2 linked regions of the Stegostoma tigrinum genome follow. The protein of the gene in region 2 purifies or fractionates together with the protein of the main gene of each other region. This does not show direct contact. Links are inferred from orthologs where the notes say so. Each region holds a gene or a part of one and is shown on either strand. Other genes may lie near its edges.

Evidence for each region.
Region 1: the proteins of ncbp2 (region 2) and phax purify together in Homo sapiens (affinity purification with mass spectrometry; 5 studies listed by BioGRID and IntAct, with this or other methods). This does not show direct contact. The link is inferred for Stegostoma tigrinum from reciprocal best matches to the Homo sapiens genes NCBP2 and PHAX.

What each region holds. Positions count from the first base shown.
Region 1 is NC_081356.1:68,956,742-68,967,429, forward strand, and holds the start of phax (phosphorylated adapter RNA export protein), read right to left. Parts: upstream 4,300-10,688; 5' UTR 4,266-4,299; coding exon 4,188-4,265; intron 1,189-4,187; coding exon 506-1,188; intron 1-505. Other genes in the region: aldh7a1 (alpha-aminoadipic semialdehyde dehydrogenase), read left to right, coding at 10,069-10,257. UniProt on the Homo sapiens protein: A phosphoprotein adapter involved in the XPO1-mediated U snRNA export from the nucleus.
Region 2 is NC_081367.1:52,261,169-52,271,278, forward strand, and holds the start of ncbp2 (nuclear cap-binding protein subunit 2), read right to left. Parts: upstream 4,890-10,110; 5' UTR 4,757-4,889; coding exon 4,682-4,756; intron 1-4,681. Other genes in the region: protein NCBP2AS2, read left to right, coding at 5,304-5,612. UniProt on the Homo sapiens protein: Component of the cap-binding complex (CBC), which binds co-transcriptionally to the 5' cap of pre-mRNAs and is involved in various processes such as pre-mRNA splicing, translation regulation, nonsense-mediated mRNA decay, RNA-mediated gene silencing (RNAi) by microRNAs (miRNAs) and mRNA export.

The sequences.
Region 1 (10,688 bases), on a different chromosome or scaffold from region 2:
TACTGATTATTGCAAAAACCCAGCTTTTTCACTAGTATCCTTTGGGGAGGAAATCCGCCAGCTTTCCCCGTCTGGCCTGCACCTCACTCCAGTCCCACAGCGATCTGGTTGACTCTTAAAGATGATCAACATTCTGGCCCTACCAAGAACATCCATATCCTAAGAAATAATAAAAGCAAAAAGAAACTAATTCTACTCAAACAGCCTACTTCACTTACCGTTTGGAGACAAAAGTATTATTTACCTTACCCCTTCTTCGAACAACGCTGACTTTTCTCAAAGAACAAAAAAGCAGGATGAACAGAGGTATTGTTTGATGATTACTGCACAGTTGGGGGTACCATCAAGGCTCAGAGGCACACCGAACAAAGGCAAATTTTCCGAGGCTCACACAAGGCAGAAAACATCTGCAGATAGCATCTTACTATTACCTCTGCAGAAAACTTTTCAGTTGTCATTCTAGATAACCTGTATTTAGCAATAACTGTAAACAGAACATACCAACCTGTAAGCTATTTCATCTGAAATCTTCGTTGGGCTATCATCTTCTTTAATATCATATTTTCCCTTATAGTTCATTTCAAGCCTTTCCCCTAGTCTCTCCTTAACTGGCCTTTTTCGCTTGAGATTACTTTGATTAGACTCTTCCTGGTTTTTGATTTTCCTTCCATCCTGTACATACTCATCTAATTCTGTTTCTAACTTATTCATTTCCTCTTCCTCCTCCTGACGCTGCTTTGCTATCATCTTCTTTGCCATTACATAATTATAAGTCTCAGACTGTCGAGAGTTCATGTCGATGCTGCCCTCCATTCCCAAAATTCCCAGCTCTGTTGCCACAGCATCTTGATTTTGCTCCTGCAACACTGAGCCCCAAATATTGTTAATTTTGTGACTTCCGACTTTTGCAGGATTTCCAGCCCCCGTAAAACCATCACCAACCGGACCAAAAGGCACGACTGGAGGCTTTAAAGGTAGATTGTTTGTACTGTTTGAACACTTTTGACGTTTCCTTCGCCACAAGAGTCTTTCCTCATCATCGGAATCAAGATCACTCTCTTCACTTGAATTGTCAGATGTTGCGGTTCTGTAGCGACTGCTCAAATCAAATGAAGATGGATGAGCTGGCATATCATTTTGTGTACTAAAGGGTGTAGTTGGAAAGTTGGGAATAGCAGCTTGCTGGTTCTGTAAATGAAGTACAACACAGTTAGTAAGTGTGAACATTATGATTGGCCTAATTAAAATTATTGCTTTGGAAAATAGCATGCAAGCAATAATTTGCTATTCACACTTTGCAGTGGCTCCTAAAACGCCTGTCACTTCTCCAGTGTTTCAAATTTATTCCTTCACCCATATTCATAATGAATTTTGCCTACGGAACATCTTGTTCTTAATGTGCAATCTAGTTGCATGATCCCATGTGTTTGACGAGATTTCTTTCCTTCAGCAACTGAAGGAATTTGTCCAAAGAAAAGACTTCAACAATAAAAAGAGACGGCATTAATCTCAAATTTTGATTGCAACCTTAAATTCCATCCTTAAAGACTTTAAGTGAAGGTCTCAGTCTCTCAAAAGTCTGGGCTTGGAACCTGATACTTTTGCCCAGGACTGCAGCCCTGAACTGAATTTGGTTTGTACAAACATCATGAGAAATTTCAATCAAAATTTGACAAGTTGAATAAAGAAATATTGGGGCTGATAGCCAAGACCTTGGTCAAAGAGGCATCTAAACAAGAGAGAGGGAAGGAAATAGATGTAGAGGTTTAGGGAAGTGGGTCCAGAGCTTAGAGTCTAGGCAGCTAAAAGTACAGACAACAGTGGCAAAGTGAAAATTAGAGATGTGCAACAGACACAAAATGGAGAAGCTTAGCAATCTTGGAGAGCTTTAGGGCTGTAACAAGTTGCAGGACTAAGCTGGGACAAGACCACAGGAGGACTTGAAAAGAAATATGAGCATTTTAAACAAAAACCAAAAGAACTGCGGAAGTTGTAAATCAGAAACAACACTAGAAACCACTGTAAAAGCTCAGTAGATCTGGCATCATCTGCTGAGAGGAATCAGAGTCAAAGTTTCAGGTCGAACGACCCTTCCTCAGAATCCATTCTCAAAGGGTCACTCGACTCGAAACGTTGACTCTAATTTCTCTCTACAAATGCTATCAGACCTGCTGAACTTTCCCAGCAGTTTTTATTCTTATTTGAGAATTTTAAAAGCTGAGCTGTTGCCAGACTGTGCAACAATATAGGTCAATAAAACGTGGATTGAACGTCAAGTGGAAATTCAACAGTTGGCTTTAGGCTTAGTGATTAGCATTGTTGCCTCACAGCGCCAGGGACCCAGATTCGATTCCACCCTTGGGAGACTGGATGGAGTTCGAAAATTCTCCCCAAATCTGCATGCGTTTCCTCCCACAGTCCAAAGATGTACAGGTTAGGTGGATTGTCCAATATGCAGGGTTACACGGAAATCGGGTGGGGGAGGTGCCAGTTGGTCCACACGGGATGATCTTCGTGGGGGTGGTGGGGGGTGTGGTCAGGACTCAATGGGCCAAATAGCCGACTCCCATGCTGTAGGGATTTTATGATATGGAGGTGGAAACTGTGTTAAACATTACACCAAGTCCCAACAGTTTGGCTTGGCCTCAGGCAATGGCTTTGGTCTGTCTGACACTTAAATGGAAGAAATTCAGTTCACCTTAAGTCAGATAAGCACAATGACAAGTCAAAGGACGTGAACAGGTTGAGAGAAATAGTGACAAACCAGCTTTCTGTGTACATGTGGAAAATGGCAAGTTTTTACAAGATGGCCCTGAGAAATACCATGTTGCTGAAAAACAGTGGCAGCCATGGAGAGAACCTTGGAGAAGCTACAGATATAAGTGGGTAATAAAGAATAGGAAGTTGTGTGGTACTTAAAATTCTCAGGATGCATCTGCACCAGTATCTGAGAGAATATTCTGGAAGCTTTCACTCAAACGCTTACAAACTTTAGAAAGATTAACATTCAAATTTGAAATTAATTCAAGTAAAATTTATTTTTAAAAACTAAATCCACCAGAAACGGCAGAATATTATGACAGATATACCACAGCTTTTATACTGTAGAATTCAGAATGTTCATCTATAGACCTAGACACTCAAGATGCTCATTGTTGTAGCAACAGAAAATTTTCCCCTTCAAAAGATGAATTCAGATCAAGTAGCTCCAATTGAATTTTCCTACCGTTTAATCATAAAAGCACCTTTTCACAACACTAACTAGTTCTCACTGAATGATGGTTAAAAAGAGCACAGTAGCTAAATTTCAAGAAAGATGTCTTATACAAGAACAAACTGTCCAGCTATTCTGTTTTGCTGTCAAAGAATGCATGTTGGGTAGGCTACTCCCTGCACAAAGATTAATGAGTATCATAAGACATTCTGAATCCACCTGAATATCTTAAGATAGCAAAACAATCTTAAGTGCACTGAAATAATCTCAAAGGGGGAAAAGAAAATGATGTCAGACTATGTAGACATATCTGATCAAACCATTGGTCAGCTTTCCTAATACTTTTTAAGGAGCATCTTAAAGGAAGTAAGAGGTACAGGACCAAGATAGTCTTTTAAAAAATGCTTGAATATCTTATAGCATTGTCAGCTTTTAATGATTGTCGAAGGCCGGTTATGCAAGCTGGGGAGAAATAAATTGCAGGGAGATGCGCAAGGGGCTGGACAGAGTTGGAAGACAGCTTGAGCCGTGATGGGGGTTTAAGAGGTTCACAGATGGAGAGGGAAAATGCTACAAAAGGGTTCAGAAAGGTCACAGGAGTCGAAACATTTACGGATTTTTGTTTACCTCTCTGTATATGTTGCTGAGTTTCTCCAGCAATTCCTGGGTTTTTTTGGCTACAAAATGGTCTTGGAACGAAGGTGTGAACTTTACAAGTGAAGCATTTGTGGCCTGGGGCTTGATGTGAAGGAAGGGTACAGACTCACCCCAGGAACAGGAGGCGGCTACAGAAGGCAATCACACCCCCGCCCCAGGACTCATAGCTCCAGAGGGAGAGGAGAATGAGAGCCCATTATATTCCAGCTGGATCTCCATGTTGCAAGGGTCTGCTCCGTCAGGGAGAGATGTGGCTAATCCTGGGGACACAGGGAACCATTTCACTGCAAATCCCCCCTCCCCTCCCCTCCGGTACCTGCAGCTCTCCGCCCGTGGTCATCTCCGAGTCCGACTCGGTGTCCAACACCTCACCGTCCTCCAGCGGCGCCGCCATCGCTGCAAGCAGAGCCTGGCCCCGAACCCGGAAACAAAACCTCCAGCTCTGCACTTCCGGGTCACAGCCTCCCTGCTCTCTCCACACCCCAACACCACGCCTCGGGCTGCTCTAGCCCTGACCAGATGGGGGCGCTGCACTGGCTGATTGCAGTGGGCTATAGATATCCTCTCTCTTCATGATAGGAAAGAGAGAGACAGTGAGACAGAGATAAAATGGTGTAGAGCTGGATGAACGCAGCCGGCCAAGCAGCATCAGAGGAGCAGTAAGGCTGACGTTTCGGGCCTAGACCCTTCTCGTCAGCTCTCCTGCTCCTCTGATGCAGCTTGGCCCGCTGTGTTCATCCAGCTCTACACCTTGGCATCTCAGATTCTGCAGCATCTGCAGTTCCCGCTATCTCTGAGATAGAGAGACAATTGGTTTTATATCACAGAATCATATAAGTGTTACAGTGCAGAAGGGGGCTGTTCAGACCATCTCATCTGCATCGGATCTCCAAATGATGACCGTTACTTCGTGCCAGTTGCCCACTTTATAACTGTAGTCATGCACATTATGTTCATCCAAATATCACCCATTGCCCTCTTGAATGCCTTAACTATACTTGCAGGCAGCGCATTCCATAATCTTACTACTCGTTGTGTGAAAATGCTTTTTAATGTCCCTCACATTTGTATTTTTTGGGCAGATCACTTTAAACTTGTGGCCTCTGTTTCTTGAAGTTCTGAAGAAGGGTAATGCCTGAAATGTTGACTGCTGCTTTCCTCCAGATGCTGCCTGGTCTGCTGTGTTCTTCCAGCCTCCTGTCTGTCTACCTTGGATTCCAGCTTGTGCTTGTTTTTATTTGTCCCTCTGTTTCTTGATTCTTTTAATGTCTCTTTATTAAATAGTTGTGGCAAGCTGGCTGAATAAATGAAGGTGACCAGTTGCTGCAGGCAAGGTCACCAAATAAGAATTACTACAACCTTTTATGATACTTCTAATTTACTCAAATTGAAAAAAAACTTCAGATCCGCCCAAAATAAAAATACATATTATCTCAATGAAATCAAAACATTAGAACATAGAACACAGAACAATACAGCGCAGAACAGGCCCTTCGGCCCTTGATGTTGCGCCGACCTGTGAACTAATCTAAGCCCCTCCCCCTACACTATCCCATCATTATCCATATGCTTATCCAAGGACTGGTGAAATGCCCCTAATGTGGCTGAGTTAACTAGATTGGCAGGCAGGGCGTTCTAGGCCCTTACCACTCTTTGAGTAAAGAACCTGCCTCTGACAACTGTCTTAAATCTATCACCCCTCAATTTGTAGCTATGCCCCCTTGTACAAGCTGAAGTCATCATCCTCGGAAAAAGACTCTCACTGTCCACCCTATCTAATCCTCTGATCATTTGTATGTCTCTATTAAATCCCCTTTTAGCCTCCTTCTCTCCAATGAGAACAGACCCAAGGCCCTCAGCCTTTCTTCATAGGGCCTGCGCTCCAGACCAGGCAACATCCTGGTAAATCTCCTCTGCACCTTTTCCAATGCTTCCACATCCTTCCTGTAATGGGGCGACCACAACTGCACACAATATTCCAAATTGTTACTGATGTCATCAACACATTGTAGTTATTTTTTAATTAATCTATTTAGGCGTATCATGGCATTTCTCTGGCCTTTTGGCCCACAGTTAGGGACACTACCACTGTGCCACAAGTCTCTCACAAGGCATTTTATACTTTGAGCTGCCCACTGTTCATGTTCATCAGGCGCAACCTTAGATACTACATACTCCTGCCACCAGGACCACCCGGACATGCAAAAGACCTTGAAAGAGATGAAGACAGGCAGACTCAATTCCTGCCAGAGATTTTACCAGTCTAAAACCTAGCTATGACTCCAGCTACCAGGGACTTAAATTCAGTAATTTACTCTGAAATCACTCCACCTCTTGAAATCTCTTTCTTCCTTGAAGGTGCTCCTTAAAATTAACTTTTTTTGGCTTTTGGCTATCCTTTCTAATATCACTTTATATAACCAGAAACCACATTTTGCCTTGTGCTGCAATATAAATTGTCATGGATGTTTTGTTGCATTAGAGGTATTCTATAAACATTGACCATATAAAATTGTGGACTGCTTACCTCCAATCCAAAGGGGCATCCCACCTCAGCAGCATTAGAAAGATTAATGTTTGTCGCCAATGGGCCTGTCGTCTCCAATATGCTTTTTATTGGATCATTACTGTATCAAAATTAAATGTGCAAACATGACACACCTTTAACAAATACAACTTTTATTAACTTGTATATTTTTAATGGCTTACTAATTTTATCTGCATCCCCCCTCTCAGTCACAATCCCCTTCATTTGTTCCGCAGTGTCACATTCAGCTGGGAGTCAACAGTGTCAAGAGTATAATTCTCAAGAATTGAGTTGTCTGAAAATCAAGACTATGAAATTATGAAGAGGTCACCTTCCATAGATACACTTAAAAGTTTGTGCATTTTCTGTCCAAAGCTAGTCAACAAAAACATTTTATATTGTATTATTACAAAACTAGATGTCATTTGATCTATAGTTTCTGTTCTTCCAGTTAAGTTAAATCAATTACTCCTTGAAACTGTTTCAAACATTCCAAACTCAAACCAGCTGTCTGATCTAGAACATCATACTTGTCATTACCATTGTCATAGCTATGAATAGGATGTCAGGGTCAAGAGCAACATATTAACGCAGCCTAGAAACTGCTAGTTACAAACAAAGAAAGCTCTGTGTTTCTAAACTGTATTGGACTTTGTTGCAAAATGTAAAAGGAAGCAAATAAACAAGGCAGTTCAGGTTAATATGATGACTGTCTTAAGACCTCGAAACAGATGTTATAAAAATATTGCCAACTTATTATTTCTTAGCAAAGCTGCTTCAATTTCTGCAGTTTACAAATTTACCAATATAATTTCTGTTCCGTTCAATAGCTTATATTTATTTTGTGGAGAGTGAATTCAGCTGCTAAATACTCTGAAATGTACTAAATAAGGAATGAACAATTAAAATGTAAATGAAGATCTTATTTTAGAATGCATTCTAGGTTATAAGTTGCAGGACAGTCTTGAATGGTCTGGCCTGGAAAGGTACATGGATCCTGATTTATTTGTCAAGTTAACATCATTAACAGAAATGTCTACAGATATTTGCACTTATGTTATGTCATTTATGTTGTGTGGAGAGACAGTTAGTGTTGAGGATGGAGAGAGGCTGCAAAAGGTCTTGGACAGCCTAAGAAAGAAGGCATGGAATACAATGTGGGAAAGTATGAGAACATGCACTTTTGTAGGAAGAATAGAGGCATAGACTATTTTCTAAATGGGGAATGTTTTAGGAAATCCGATGTACAAAGAGACAGAAGAGTCCTAGTTAAGGATTCTCTTAAGGTTAACATGCAGGGTCAGTTGGCAGTTGGGAGGGCAAATGCAATATTCACATTCGAGAGGGTTAGAATATACAAGCGGAGATTTATTGCCAAGGTGGTAAGGCTCTGGTGAGACCACATTTGGAATATTGTGAGCAGTTTTGGGTTCTGTATCCAAGGAAGAACGTGCCGGCCTTGGAGGGGTTCAGGGACTGATCCTGGGGATGAAGGACTTGTCTTATGGGGAGTGGTTGAGTATTTTTAGATATTTCTACGCAATTAACATCATCTGTAGGCTGAGAATTCTGCCCAGCAAATTGTAGTGTATTGCAAATTTTTATGAGGGAATTTGCATAGGAACGCCGCTACCATCTCTAAACTCTTCGCCATATCACACGTCATCCTGACTTGGATGACATTGTCGTTCCTTATCACTGACTGCTAAAAACATTAATCTTTGTCCTGACATAAGTTTATTTGTTTCTGGCCTTTTTCAGTCCCTGACTGCAGTCCCCACTTGATTTCCTTCCCTTCAATTTCGATATTATCAGTGACTTGACGACTTTGCATGAAATTTTTCATTTGTTGACAGGTCTGTACTCAATGGCGTTTACAAGGATGAGGGGGAATCTCACTGAAACTCACAGAATACTGAGGGGTCTGGATAGAGTGGATGTGGAGAAGATGCTTCCTTTAGTAGGAGAGGCTAAAACCTGAAGGTACAGCCTCAGAGTGAAAGGGCTACCCTTTAGAACTGAGATGAGGTGGAATTTCTTCAGCCAGAGAATGGTGAATCTATGGAACTCATTGTCACAGAAGGCTGTGGAAGCCAAGTTTCTGAGTGTATTTAAGACAGAGATAGCTTGGTTTTTGATTAGTAAGGAGATCAAAGGTTATGGAGAGAAGGCAGCAAAGTGGGGATGAGAAACTTAACAACCATGAACAAATAGCAGAGCAGACTCAATGGGCTGAATAGCCTAATCCTATCCTTGTATCTTATGGGCCTATTATTTCTCTGGAATGTCTCCAAATGCTTCATAGTGAATCAAGTGGTCACTGTGGTTACAAAGGCCAAAATGGAACAAATCTGAGAAAGTTAATGTTGGAAGAAATTGAATAGTAGTAACACTCTGATCATAGTCAGCATTTTCACTTCTTTAGTAATGCCTATCTGCCCTCCTATCTCAGACCCTCTGATCCCGAAACCAGTTTCCATGGCTTTATTCTGATTTTTCTTTACAATGGATGTGATTCCAGGTTAATTCTGTACCCCCATAACTGACGATTCCAACACTTTGCTGAATGGGCACCTGCGCTGCACCTTTTGTAGACTTCTCTTCATCGAACTCGGTTGGCAGTTTCCTAACACTGCACCAAGTCCCGCTCACATATCCTTGTGTTCAAATCTCCCCATGGCCTAGTCCATCCTGCCTCTAACTTTTCCAACCTGACAACTGACACTCTCTCTAAGCTGTACAGCCAGGTAGGCTGGTGAGCAGCAACCCATAATAAGCGCAATGAAACAAACAGACTGCACAAACCACCGGTCCTTTTAACACATGGGCAAAGCCAATGGCAGCAATCATGAAGGAAGTACATAATGTAATAACCAGACAAAGAAACAAATGGATGGAACATCATCTACGATCCTCTAAGAACCTCACATGCCTTCATTTCTGGCTTGCTGCACACCACTGATGTTTTTTCCATCATAACCGTCCTTTCAGCTGGTAGGGAGTCACGTATCTCAATTGGTTAGACAGCTGGTTTGTGATATCGGGTGATGTCCCCAAACATTAGGCTCAATTGCTGTACATTCTAAGGTTACCACGAAAGTATTTCCTTAACCTCTCCCCTCCCTGAGAAGTGGTGACTCTCTGCTTAAACCACCACTAGTAGTGTCTCCCTAATGAGAGTCGTCCGGGACTATGGTGAATTCACTTTTATCAGCTAGTCCTGTGCCCTAAGCTTCCCATCCATCTTTCTCTTTCCACAACCCCCCCCCAAAACCATTTTGATTATGCTTTCAATTGTTAAAATGCAGCTCTAAATTTAGCTGGTGCTGCAATGACGTTTCATTATGAGAGACTATTATTATTGCAGAAAGGGAAATGCTTTAAAACGAAGTGACTATGTGTTTTTCTACCACCCCCCTGCCCCAAGCTCTGGGATTGCACGGTCAGCGGACGTGCTGCTGATCTATTTTCGGGGTTGAGTAACCGGGTTCAGGGCAGGATCTGCGGTTAGCTCTTCCGGCTCTTCGCTTCATTCCCTTTTCCTTGGACGTTGGAGGGGAGGTGGGCAGCGCATGCTGCTGCCAATCACACAGGCTGCGCTCCACCGATTTCACCGACAGCGTGTGTGTGTTTTAAATTGCTGCGATTTTTGCGTTGCTGCGCTGATAGGATGCACCGGGTAACGCTGTCCTTCGCGAGGCCTTTGCTCCGAAAGAGGGAGGTGTTCTGCAGCTGGAGACTGTCTGCAGCCATGTCCAGTCTGCTCATCCAGCAGCCCGACTATGCCTGGCTTAAGGAGCTGGGTCTAAAGGAGGACAACCCCGGCGTTTTCAACGGGAGCTGGGGAGGGCGAGGAGAGGTGAGCAGCAGCAGAGGCAGAGAGAGAGACTGTCTCTGTATAATGGTGACAACGGCCCACTGCAAACAGGACTTCACCCAGAAAGTCTTTCCTCTTGCACTGCAAATTACAGAAGCAACCTTAGACTAACGTTCGGACTAATCTTTCTTTCTGACTTTCTTTCTTCCCCCGCCCCAGCTGCAGACTGTTATTCAATGTTTTTGGCTTTTGAGCAGTGGGTAGGGTCGGCGTTGTTGCTTTAGTCGGACGTTTGTAAGGTCAGTGTGTCCTGCCGTGTGCCTGGAATTTCACGCAGCCCGACAGAGACTGCAGTTTTCAGCGGCCAGACTTGCCAACTCTCTTCGAGGATTCGCTACCCAACTTCCTATCCAGCCAAAACCCTGCACCCGTTTGCAATACGTTTATAACAAAAGGGCTGCAAGAATCTGAAA
Region 2 (10,110 bases):
TTAATTCAGTCCCTAAAGCTTTTTCACCACGTTACCGAATTACTGCTGATCCGTTCCTCAACTCAACCTACCTACTTCAGATCCATTTTCCCAGGTACAGAATCAGAATAAACCGATCATCCTTACTTGGTTTGGCCTACATGTGACTCCAGATCCATGGAAATGTGGTTGACTGAACTGCCCTCTGAAATAGTGTAGAATGCCAACCAAATCAAGGGAAATTAGGGCAGGGCAGCAGACAACCAAAGAGTTCCACATTTCCACTATCATTTTTCAAAAGCACTCATTGGTTTGAGACCCAAATGACCTAACTCTAAATTTAAGATATTGTTCTGAACTTCTCCAAATGAATGGAACTTCCCACCAACTTTTCAAATTCCTCCACCAGTTCACAGAATTATTACAGTGCTGAAGAACATTATTCAGCCCATTATGTCTGTCCTGGCTCTCTGAATGAACATCATGATTTAGTGCCATTTTCCTGTCCTCTAACCTTGTACATGAGGCAATTATTTGAATAGAAATAACGCCTTCATGAATGTACAATTAAACCTGCATCTCCACGCAAGGCACTGCAGACCTGACCACCTCCGAGATTCCTTCTTATTTCTTTCCTTCTGTATCACCCTCTGAGGTCCATGTGTGGCAATGACTTCCAAAATCTAAAATCAATGCCTGTGTGCACCAATTGGTGTGTGTGGATTCTCCAAGTGGCTGCATAGCTTAGAGGTAACCTTGTTAACATCATATACACTACTTCTGCAAATTACTTTAAATTTTTGCCCTGTTGCTCTTGATCTGTTTACAAGTGGGAACAGTTTCTCCTTGTCTATTCTGTTCAGACCTCTCATGATTTTGAAAGCTTCAATCAAATCTCATCTCTCCCTCCTCCTCTTTAAGGAAACCAGCCTCAACTTCTCCAATCTATTTTCATACCCGAAATGTTTCATCCCTGGAAACATTCTTGTAAACCACTGTGTTCTGCCTAATGCCATCATATACTTCCTAAAGTGTGGCCTGTGGAAGTACACACAATAGTCCAACTAACCCAATTCATCTCACATGCAGACTCAGTACAACTTAAAACCTAGGATACTGTTTGTTTTTTTAACCATGATCTCCATTTGCCCTGTCAGATTTCTCTGCTCCTACACACATTACAGTAATACCTTCTATTTTATATTGTTTCTCCACATCCTATCAAAATGAACAGAACTGAATATCTACCACTTATTCACCCTCCACTTGTCAATGATCTTTTGACATTTTACATTGTCCTCAGTTTACAATGCCTCCAAATTTAAACACCTGACTTAGATCATCACTCAACTTCAGAATTAAAAAGGAACAAGTCAGTTTTATACCATTCCCTAAAACAACCCTTTTAATCAGAATAATCATGCTAATGAATTTGCACTGCTCCACCACCAAGGCTTTCCCGTGTTGCTGTACCTATGAACTGAACAGAGTGCTTGGTCCAGAAAAGGCACTGCACAAACAGAAATACAGCTTCTACCTTTTCCAGCTCTCCTTGAGAGGAAGACCAACATTCCATTAGCTATCTTTCCCCCAACCCACACATCAGTTTTTAAGAGCATACATGCACATCCAAATACCGTTACTCTCCAATTTCTACTTCTTAGCTTTACAATAGTCCTGCTCATCTTTCTCAGCCCCAAAATGACTGAACCCCACATTTTCATCTCTTATTGAACTCCATAACCAGTTTTACCCCCCACTCACATCATATATCTTTCCCAGTGATAATGGGAACTGCAGATGCTGGAGAATCCAAGGCAACAAAGTGTGGAGCTGGATGAACACAGCAGGCCAAGCAGCATCTCAGGAGCACAAAAGCTGACGTTTCAGGCCGAGACCCTTCACCAGAGAGGGGGATGGGGTGAGGGTTCTGGAATAAATGGCGGGGGGGGGGGGGGGGGGGGGGGGGGAAGAGAGGCGGACCGAAGATGGACAGAAAACAAGATAGGTAGAGAGGAGAGTATAGGTAGGAGATAGGGAGGGGATAGGTCAGTCCAGGGAAGATGCACAGGTCAAGGAGGCAGGATGAGGTGGTAGGTGGGAAATGGAGGTGCGGCTTGAGGTGGGAGGAAGGGATGGGTGAGAGGAAGAACAGGTTAGGGAAGCAGAGACAGGCTGGGCTGGTTTTGGGATGCAGTGGGGGGAGGGGACGAGCTGGGCTGGTTTTGGGATGCAGTCGGGGAAGGGGAGATTTTGAAGCTGGTGAAGTCCACGCTGATACCATTGGGCTGCAGGGTTCCCAAGCGGAATATGAGTTGCTGTTCCTGAAACCTTCGGGTGACTTCATTGTGGCACTGCAGGAGGCCCATGATGGACATGTCGTCTGAGGAATGGGAGAGGGAGTTGAAATGGTTCGCGATTGGGAGGTGCAGTTGTTTGTTGCAAACCGAGCGGAGGTGTTCTGCAAAGTGGTCCCCAAGCCTCCGCTTGGTTTCCCCAATGTAGAGAAAGCCACACCGGGTGCAATGGATACAATATACCACATTGGCAGATGTGCAGGTGAACATCTGTTTGATACGGAAGGTCATCCTGGGGCCTGGGATGGGGGTGAGGAAGGAAGTGTGGGGGCAAGTGTAGCACTTCCTGCGGTTGCAGGGGAAGGTGCCGTGTGTGGTGGGGTTGGAGGGGAGTGTGGAGGGGAGGATGATACATTGTATCCGGACGTTGGTGGGGTGGTGTGTGAGGACGAGGGGGATCCTCTGGGGACGGTTTTGGCGGGGGCGGGGTGTGAGGGATGTGTTGCGGGAAACGTGGGAGCTAGAAACTGATGACCATTTCAAGCCCACTGACTCCCACAGCTACCTAGAATACACCTCCTCCCACCCACCCTCCTGCAAAAATTCTATCCCCTATTCCCAATTCCTCGGCCGCTATTGCATCCGCTCCCAGGATGAGGCATTCCACTCCCGTACATCCCAGATGTCCACGTTCTTCCAGGACCGCAACTTTCCTCCCGCAGTGGTCGAGAACACCCTTGACCGCGTCTCCCGCAACACAACCCTCACACCCTGCCCCTGCCGCAACCGCCCCCAGAGGATGCCCCTCGTCCTCACATACCACCCCACCAACCTCCGGATACAACGTATCATCCTCCGACACTTCCGCCATCTACAATCCGACCCCACCACCCAAACCATTTTTCCATCCACACCCTTGTCTGCCTTCCGGAGAGACCACTCTCTCCGTGACACCCTTGTCCGCTCCACACTTCCCTCCAACCCCACCACACCCGGCACCTTCCCCTGCAACCACAGGAAGTGCTACACCTGCCCCCACACCTCCTCCCTCACCCCCATCCCAGGCCCCAGGATGACTTTCCATATCAAACAGATGTTCACCTGCACATCTGCCAACGTGGTATATTGTATCCATTGCACCTGGTGTGGCTTCCTCTACACTGGGGAAACCAAGCGGAAGCTTGGGGACCGCTTTGCAGAACACCTCCGCTCGGTTTGCAACAAACAACTGCACCTCCCAGTCGCAAACCATTTCCACTCCCCCTCCCATTCCTCAGACGACATGTCCATCATGGGCCTCCTGCAGTGCCACAATGTTGCCACCCGAAGGTTTCAGGAACAGCAACTCATACTCCGCTTAGGAACCCTGCAGCCCAATGGTATCAACGTGGACTTCACCAGCTTCAAAATCTCCCCTTCCCCGACTGCATCCCAAAACCAGCCCAGTTCTTCCCCTCCCCCCACAGCACCACACAACCAGCCCAGCTCGTCCCCTCCCCCCACTGCATCCCAAATCCAGCCCAGCCTGTCTCTGCTTCCCTAACCTGTTCCCCTCTCACCCATCCCTTCCCCCCACCTCAAGCCACACCTCCATTTCCTACCTAACACCTCATCCCGCCTCCTTGACCTGTCCATCTTCCCTGGACTGACCTATCCCCTCCCTACCTCCCCACCGATACTCTCCTCTCTACCACAGATAATGGGAACTGCAGATGCTGGAGAATCCAAGATAACAAAGTGTGAAGCTGGATGAACACTGCAGGCCAAGCAGCATCTCAGGAGCACAAAAGCTGACGTTTCGGGCCTAGCCCCTTCATCAGAGCCTGCTGTGTTCATCCAGCTTCATACTTTATTATCTTGGATCTCTCCTCTCTACCTACCTTGTAATCTCTCCATCTTCGGTCCGCCTCCCCCTCTCTCCCTATTTATTCCAGTTCCCTCTCCCCATCCCCCTTTTCTGATGAATTGTCTAGGCCTGAAACGTCAGCTTTTGTGCTCCTGAGATGCTGCTTGGCCTGCTGTGTTCATCCAGCTCCACACTTTATTATTATATATCTTTTACATCTCGATCTATTTCTTCTCAATTTTCAAAAAAACTAAGTGTACCTCATAAGTATCGAATACAAACTATTACTTTATAGAAATCAATTTGAAAATGTAAAAGTCATTGATAGAAATCAATATTTTTCAGGAAACTGAACTGGTAGCAGGTCAGACACGAGAGGAGCAGGCCTCAAAAGATCAAAAAAAAAACACAGGGAGAATTCAGGGCATTGTCCAAACTTGTTCCTGGTATCAACACTTGGCTTTCTGTCTGGCTGTGACTAGAGGGGTACCGCTTGGTTAACGGCCGGTTTATCACTGGTTAAAACAGGCCTGGAAGAGAAAAACAAGAGACGCATTACCCGAAAGTGCTGATCCCGGTACTGGCTCAGCTCCACATGAGAATCGCTGTTGAGGGCATTCAGCACAACAGACATGACACCAAAAAAAAAGTCTGGCGGAGGCGGAGAGGGAAGCAAAAAACAGACAAGCAGCAACCGACCCTCGCTGCCGGAAGCAGCAGGTGACTAGAAACTCCCGTCTTGTCCGTCCACTTGAAACCGTCCGTGCTGCCGCCGACTCCGGGCTGATCGTTCCTGAAATTATACCGCTATCCTGGACCCGAACACGTTAACTCTTTTTTTTCCTTCACAGATGCTGCCAGACCTTCTGAGCTTTTCCAGCAACTTCTGTTTTTGTCGGCGAGACTTACGCCCTGATTTAAAATCAAAGAAGGTGTAATGCCTCGTGTTTACGTTCCTTTACTGCAAAGACAACATGTGGGTGAAATGCAGAATTTTTCTTTTATGAAGAAACAAATGATCTTTGCTGCCCGCCGGACTGTAAAAGTGACGGAGCAGTGCAGCCGATCGCCGAGGTGATCGAGTCGTTTCCATGGCGATTAGATAGTGGGGTCGATGGCCGAGCAGCGCGGAGGTCAGAAGGGAGGTGAGCGGGATCGAGGAAGGAGGCTGAGTGGCCGCCATGGTACTGCGAAGGCTGCTGCAGTCGGCGTTGAACAACGCGCGGCTGATCGAGAAACTGTCGGAGTCTACGCCGGTGCGGCGGGCGGCCCAGATCACTGTCTATGTGATCGCACGGCTCCAGGTGAGAGGCAGGAGTGTGGCCGAGCGCCTGAGTCAATCCAACGCCCTCCGGCAGCTCCTGGAGAAGGGAGACATTCCCCGCAACCTCGAGGAACTCAACAAGAAAGTCGCCGAGTTAAAAGACGCCATCGCGAAGGAGCTGAAGGAAAGCATAAAGGACTCTTTGAAGAAGAAGGATAAAAAGTAAATTTAAAAAAACTAGAATCTCCCTGGAGTTGATTCTCCTCACACCCCGGCATCTGCTGTAGTGACTGGAGCAAATAGGAAGACTTTGGGAATTTATCCTATTTTAAAAGCACTGCAGTAAATATCTGTCCTGGGGATACTCCAGCTGAGATTTGGATGAATTCCTTTTCAATATTCATCGTGGTTGGATTCAGATGTATCGACACACTGACTGAAATTCTTTTGAAATTTTACGAATATTGTCATCAGCACAAGATCGGAATTGTGACGCTCGTTGATTAGATTGCCAGCTTCATAATATTTCATCTGACTATTTTCCGATATTGACTACTATTTTGCTGTAACTGTTTGAATTTCACAGTATTTAAGGTGGATCTCACTGATGATAATGTAAACAAAGTGTACACAATTCATCAGAAAAGTCCTGTGATAGTTCAAAGAATTAAACAAAACAAAACATCGATATTTGCCTTATTGCTTAGACAAATCATTATTTTTATTTATAAAATGGAAATTTTGCATGGTGCTATTTATGTTTAAATATATTTTACAGTAAAGGCAATGTAGTTCACAGGAAAATAACCTCAAAGTACACGTGTTCATGATAATGCATTGATTTAGGACATTATAGGCCTTTTTAAAACCTGAGTCCCTCATGAGAGCATTATTGAGAAATTAAGAACACAATCTAGGACTTTTATTTGTTTTAACAATCTGCACTCATGCAGTACCTTAAATGTTCCATTTGCCCGTTCATGGCATGCTCAGGCATAAGTTGAGACTAAACCATGTAAATAAATTTTAGAAGTAATGATCAAAAGTTTTGTCACATGTTTAAGAATGACAGTTAAAGTACAATATGTGGTTAGAGTGGGAATTTTGGAGCTTAAACCCTTCCAAACTTGCTGAAATTTTCCAGTATTTTGATTTTATTTCAGATTTCTAGCATGCACATTTATTTTTATATGCAACAACAATGGTGTCTTGAGATTGTTTCCAGGTCAATTGGTTTGTCTTTTTAAATAGTCATATATGGGAAGTGGGCCTCACTGGCTGGGCCAGCATTTACCTCCCATCCCCAGTTGTTCTTGAAAATGAGTTGCTTTCTTGAATTACTTGAGTCCAGTTGTTGTAAGCAACACTCACTATGCAGTTAGTGATGAGTCTCAGGGTTTTGTCTTGGAGATATAATTCATTATATGTTGAGTAGTGTCGAGGGGAATTTGCAGGTGGTAGTGTTTCCATCTGTTTGCTGCCCAATCCTTTGAGAAAGTAGTATTCAAACATTGCAAGTTGATATCTGAAAGCCTTGTTGAATTTCTGCAACGCATCTTTTTTTTAAGATTAGATTCCCTACAGTGTGGAAACAGGCCCTTCGGCCCAACAAGTCCACACCGCCCCTTGGGGCATCCCACCCAGACCTATCCCCCTATAACCCACACACTCCTAAACACTATGCGCAATTTAGCATGGCCAATCCACCTAGCCTGCACATCTTTGGACTGTGGGAGGAAGCCAGAGCACCCGGAGGAAACCCACGCAGACACGGGGAGAATGTGCAAACTCCACACAAACAATTACCCAAGGCTGGAATTGAACCTGGGCCCCTGGCACTGAGAGGCTGCAGTGCTAACCACTGAGCCACCGTGCTGCCCTTGTATTCACTGCTGTTATTGTGTGTCATTGCTGAAAGATGCAAATGTGATGACAGTCAACAGGGCTGCTTTGTTCTGGACTGACATCAAGCTTCTTGAGTTTTGTTGGAGTTGCACTCAGACAGGCAAGTGGGGAGTATCCTGTCACGTTTCTGATTAGGAACCTTGTACATGGCGAATAGTCTTTGGAGAGTCATTGATTTAATCATTGCAGGATTCCTAAACTCTGGACTACTTTTGTAGCCACAATCTTTGCATGGCAAGTCCAGTTCAGCTTCTGGTCAATAGTAACCCCCAGGATTTTGATAGTGGGGAATTCAGGGATTGTAATGCCATTGAATATCATGGGGAAATTGTTCTGTTTTTGTTAAAGAAAGTCATTACCTGGTACTTGTGGGGTAAAAATATTACTTGCCAATTGAAATGTAGATATTGTCCAGATCTTAGTGCAATATCTGAGAAGTGACAAATGGTGCTGGACATTGCACAATCAGCAGCAAACATCCCTATTTCTGATCTTCTAATGGAGGTAAGGTCATTGATGAAAATGGTTGAGCCCATGACACTACCCAGAGGAATTACTGTAAAGATGTCCTGGAACTAAGATGACTGACCTCCAACAACCATAGCCATCATCCTCCTTGGTAGGTATTACTCTAAGTGAAGAGTTTTCCCTTCGATTCCTATTGACTCTTGTTTTGCTAGCACTGCTTGATATCACCTTCGGTCAAATGCGGTCTTGATGTCAAGGGACTCTCACCTTGTGGGCTGACTCTCAAGAGAAATAAACTAAGAAAGACTAGCGGGGAAATAACTGCAGTGACATTACAGGGAGTAGATGTTTGGAGGTCCCTGATGTTGAATGAATGTTGTTGATGGAAGCCCCACTACCCATCCAAGATTTGAATGAGGTGACTTTCTGTAATTATCTGCTCCTAAATTCCTTTCACTAGCTTCATAATTGTGATTTGTTGACAAACAGTCCTAAAGTAGTCATTAGTTGCCCACTTAAGAGCCTTAACTAGGGTGAGGGCAGCAGGTGCGCCTGAATTCTGGCTACAGGTACACCTTTTTTATATGGGATTGTCCATGTTGTTAACAACAATGTTTACTCTCTGGGTGTTTGGCACAGGTTCAGTTATATTTTTAACCCTGACATGACAGAAACAACTAACTATCTTGGATTTATGTCTGTGGCTGCAGAATCCCCTCTCTGCTCCCTTGACTATTGAATCTTCTTTCACCATTGTTCTTCCAGCGTTCTTCATGCCTTCTATGCAATTGAGTCAGCCATGGTACCATTAACCTGACTGGCTACACTCTACAGATGAACCATCACTTCATCAGTATTCAAAACTGAGTATTCAGTGGATAACAAGATGCACTTAGGGGACTCCTGCACAATCTACCTGTTTCTACTTGACTGGCTGATGGTCATCCATTCCCTATTTCCCTGCTTATTCATAAGCTCTGTGCTGACTTTGTCTATAATAGGCTATCCATGAAGCTCTGAAATTCATATGTGCTGCAATGATGACAACCGCTGCTCAAGTTCTGAAATCTAGAGTTTGAGCTGTTGCAGCCGATATTTGCTGTTATGTATGATTATCCACAACAGGATCATGTTAACAGGATGTGAAGTCCAAGGGGCTGAGATCGCCTGGAACTCTTTTATTAGAGTATAAACCTTGGATAGCTAAAAAAAAAGACTCTACCAACTAACTTGAGTGTGGGGAAGTCAACTGAAATATTTTACTTATCCCAAATTTGTCTGAAAAAAAAACTTAAATTTCTACTTTCCCAGCCCAATAGACCAATTCACAAATGTTTGTAAATAGGAGAACACAGATGCAACATTCTCAGCCCTTCTGTAAGATCACTATTTGAATCTTGTTTTCTCACTTGTTCGAACTTAAGCATACCCAGGTCTGTTGCTGGTGTTAAATCTCTCTCTTAGTAAATCATGGCTGGCAAGCTTTATTTTTAAGTTGTGACCCGTGGAATACTCGGACAAATTGATAAGGTGGTTAGGAAATTGATTACTTGGGTGTATAAATAGAGGAAAAGAAAATAAAAGAGATTATTCTAGAACTTTATAAATCAGTAGGTGGACCTCATCGAAACTATCATGACTCATTCTGGACAATTCACTTCAGAAAAATGTAAAGGTACTAAAAGTGTACAGGAGATATTTATTAGAATGTATCAGGGATGAGGGACTTCAGTTATGAGTGGGTTATAACAATATGGACTACTGTTGTAACAAATGTAAAGAGGTTACCTATTTGAGGTTTTAAGATGAGAGATTTTGAGAAAAGATGAAAAAAATTACAAAATCATTAGAAAGGTAATTTTTTGGAAGTTGAGATCTAAAATACTGTACTTAAAATGGAAGCTGTTTCCATTGAATACTTTTGAAAGGGCACTGGAATATTTGAGGATGATGAACTTACAGGGCTTTGGAAAAATGGTGGGATAGTGTGGAACAATGCACCACTGCTTTTTCGAAGAGCCTGTACTGGGACAATGGGCCAAATAGCTTCCCTCTCTGCTATAAGTTTCTAAAATTATTATATTAGTTACAATCTGGTGTCACCTTTTGTAGCCCCTGCACAATACTTGGGAAGGGTATTATGTTAGCAGTATTGATAAGTATCTGCTTATCCAGATGGCTTATCAAATCAAGTCTTGTTTAGACCGTATAGCTTAGTTACTGTCCCCCTTACGACTTAATCACTGACCCACATCATACCACAAGTTAATGAATCAATGTTCCAAAACCTGCGACACAAGTTATATAAGATTATGCAACAATGAAAAGGCATCAGATCTACAAAATGAACA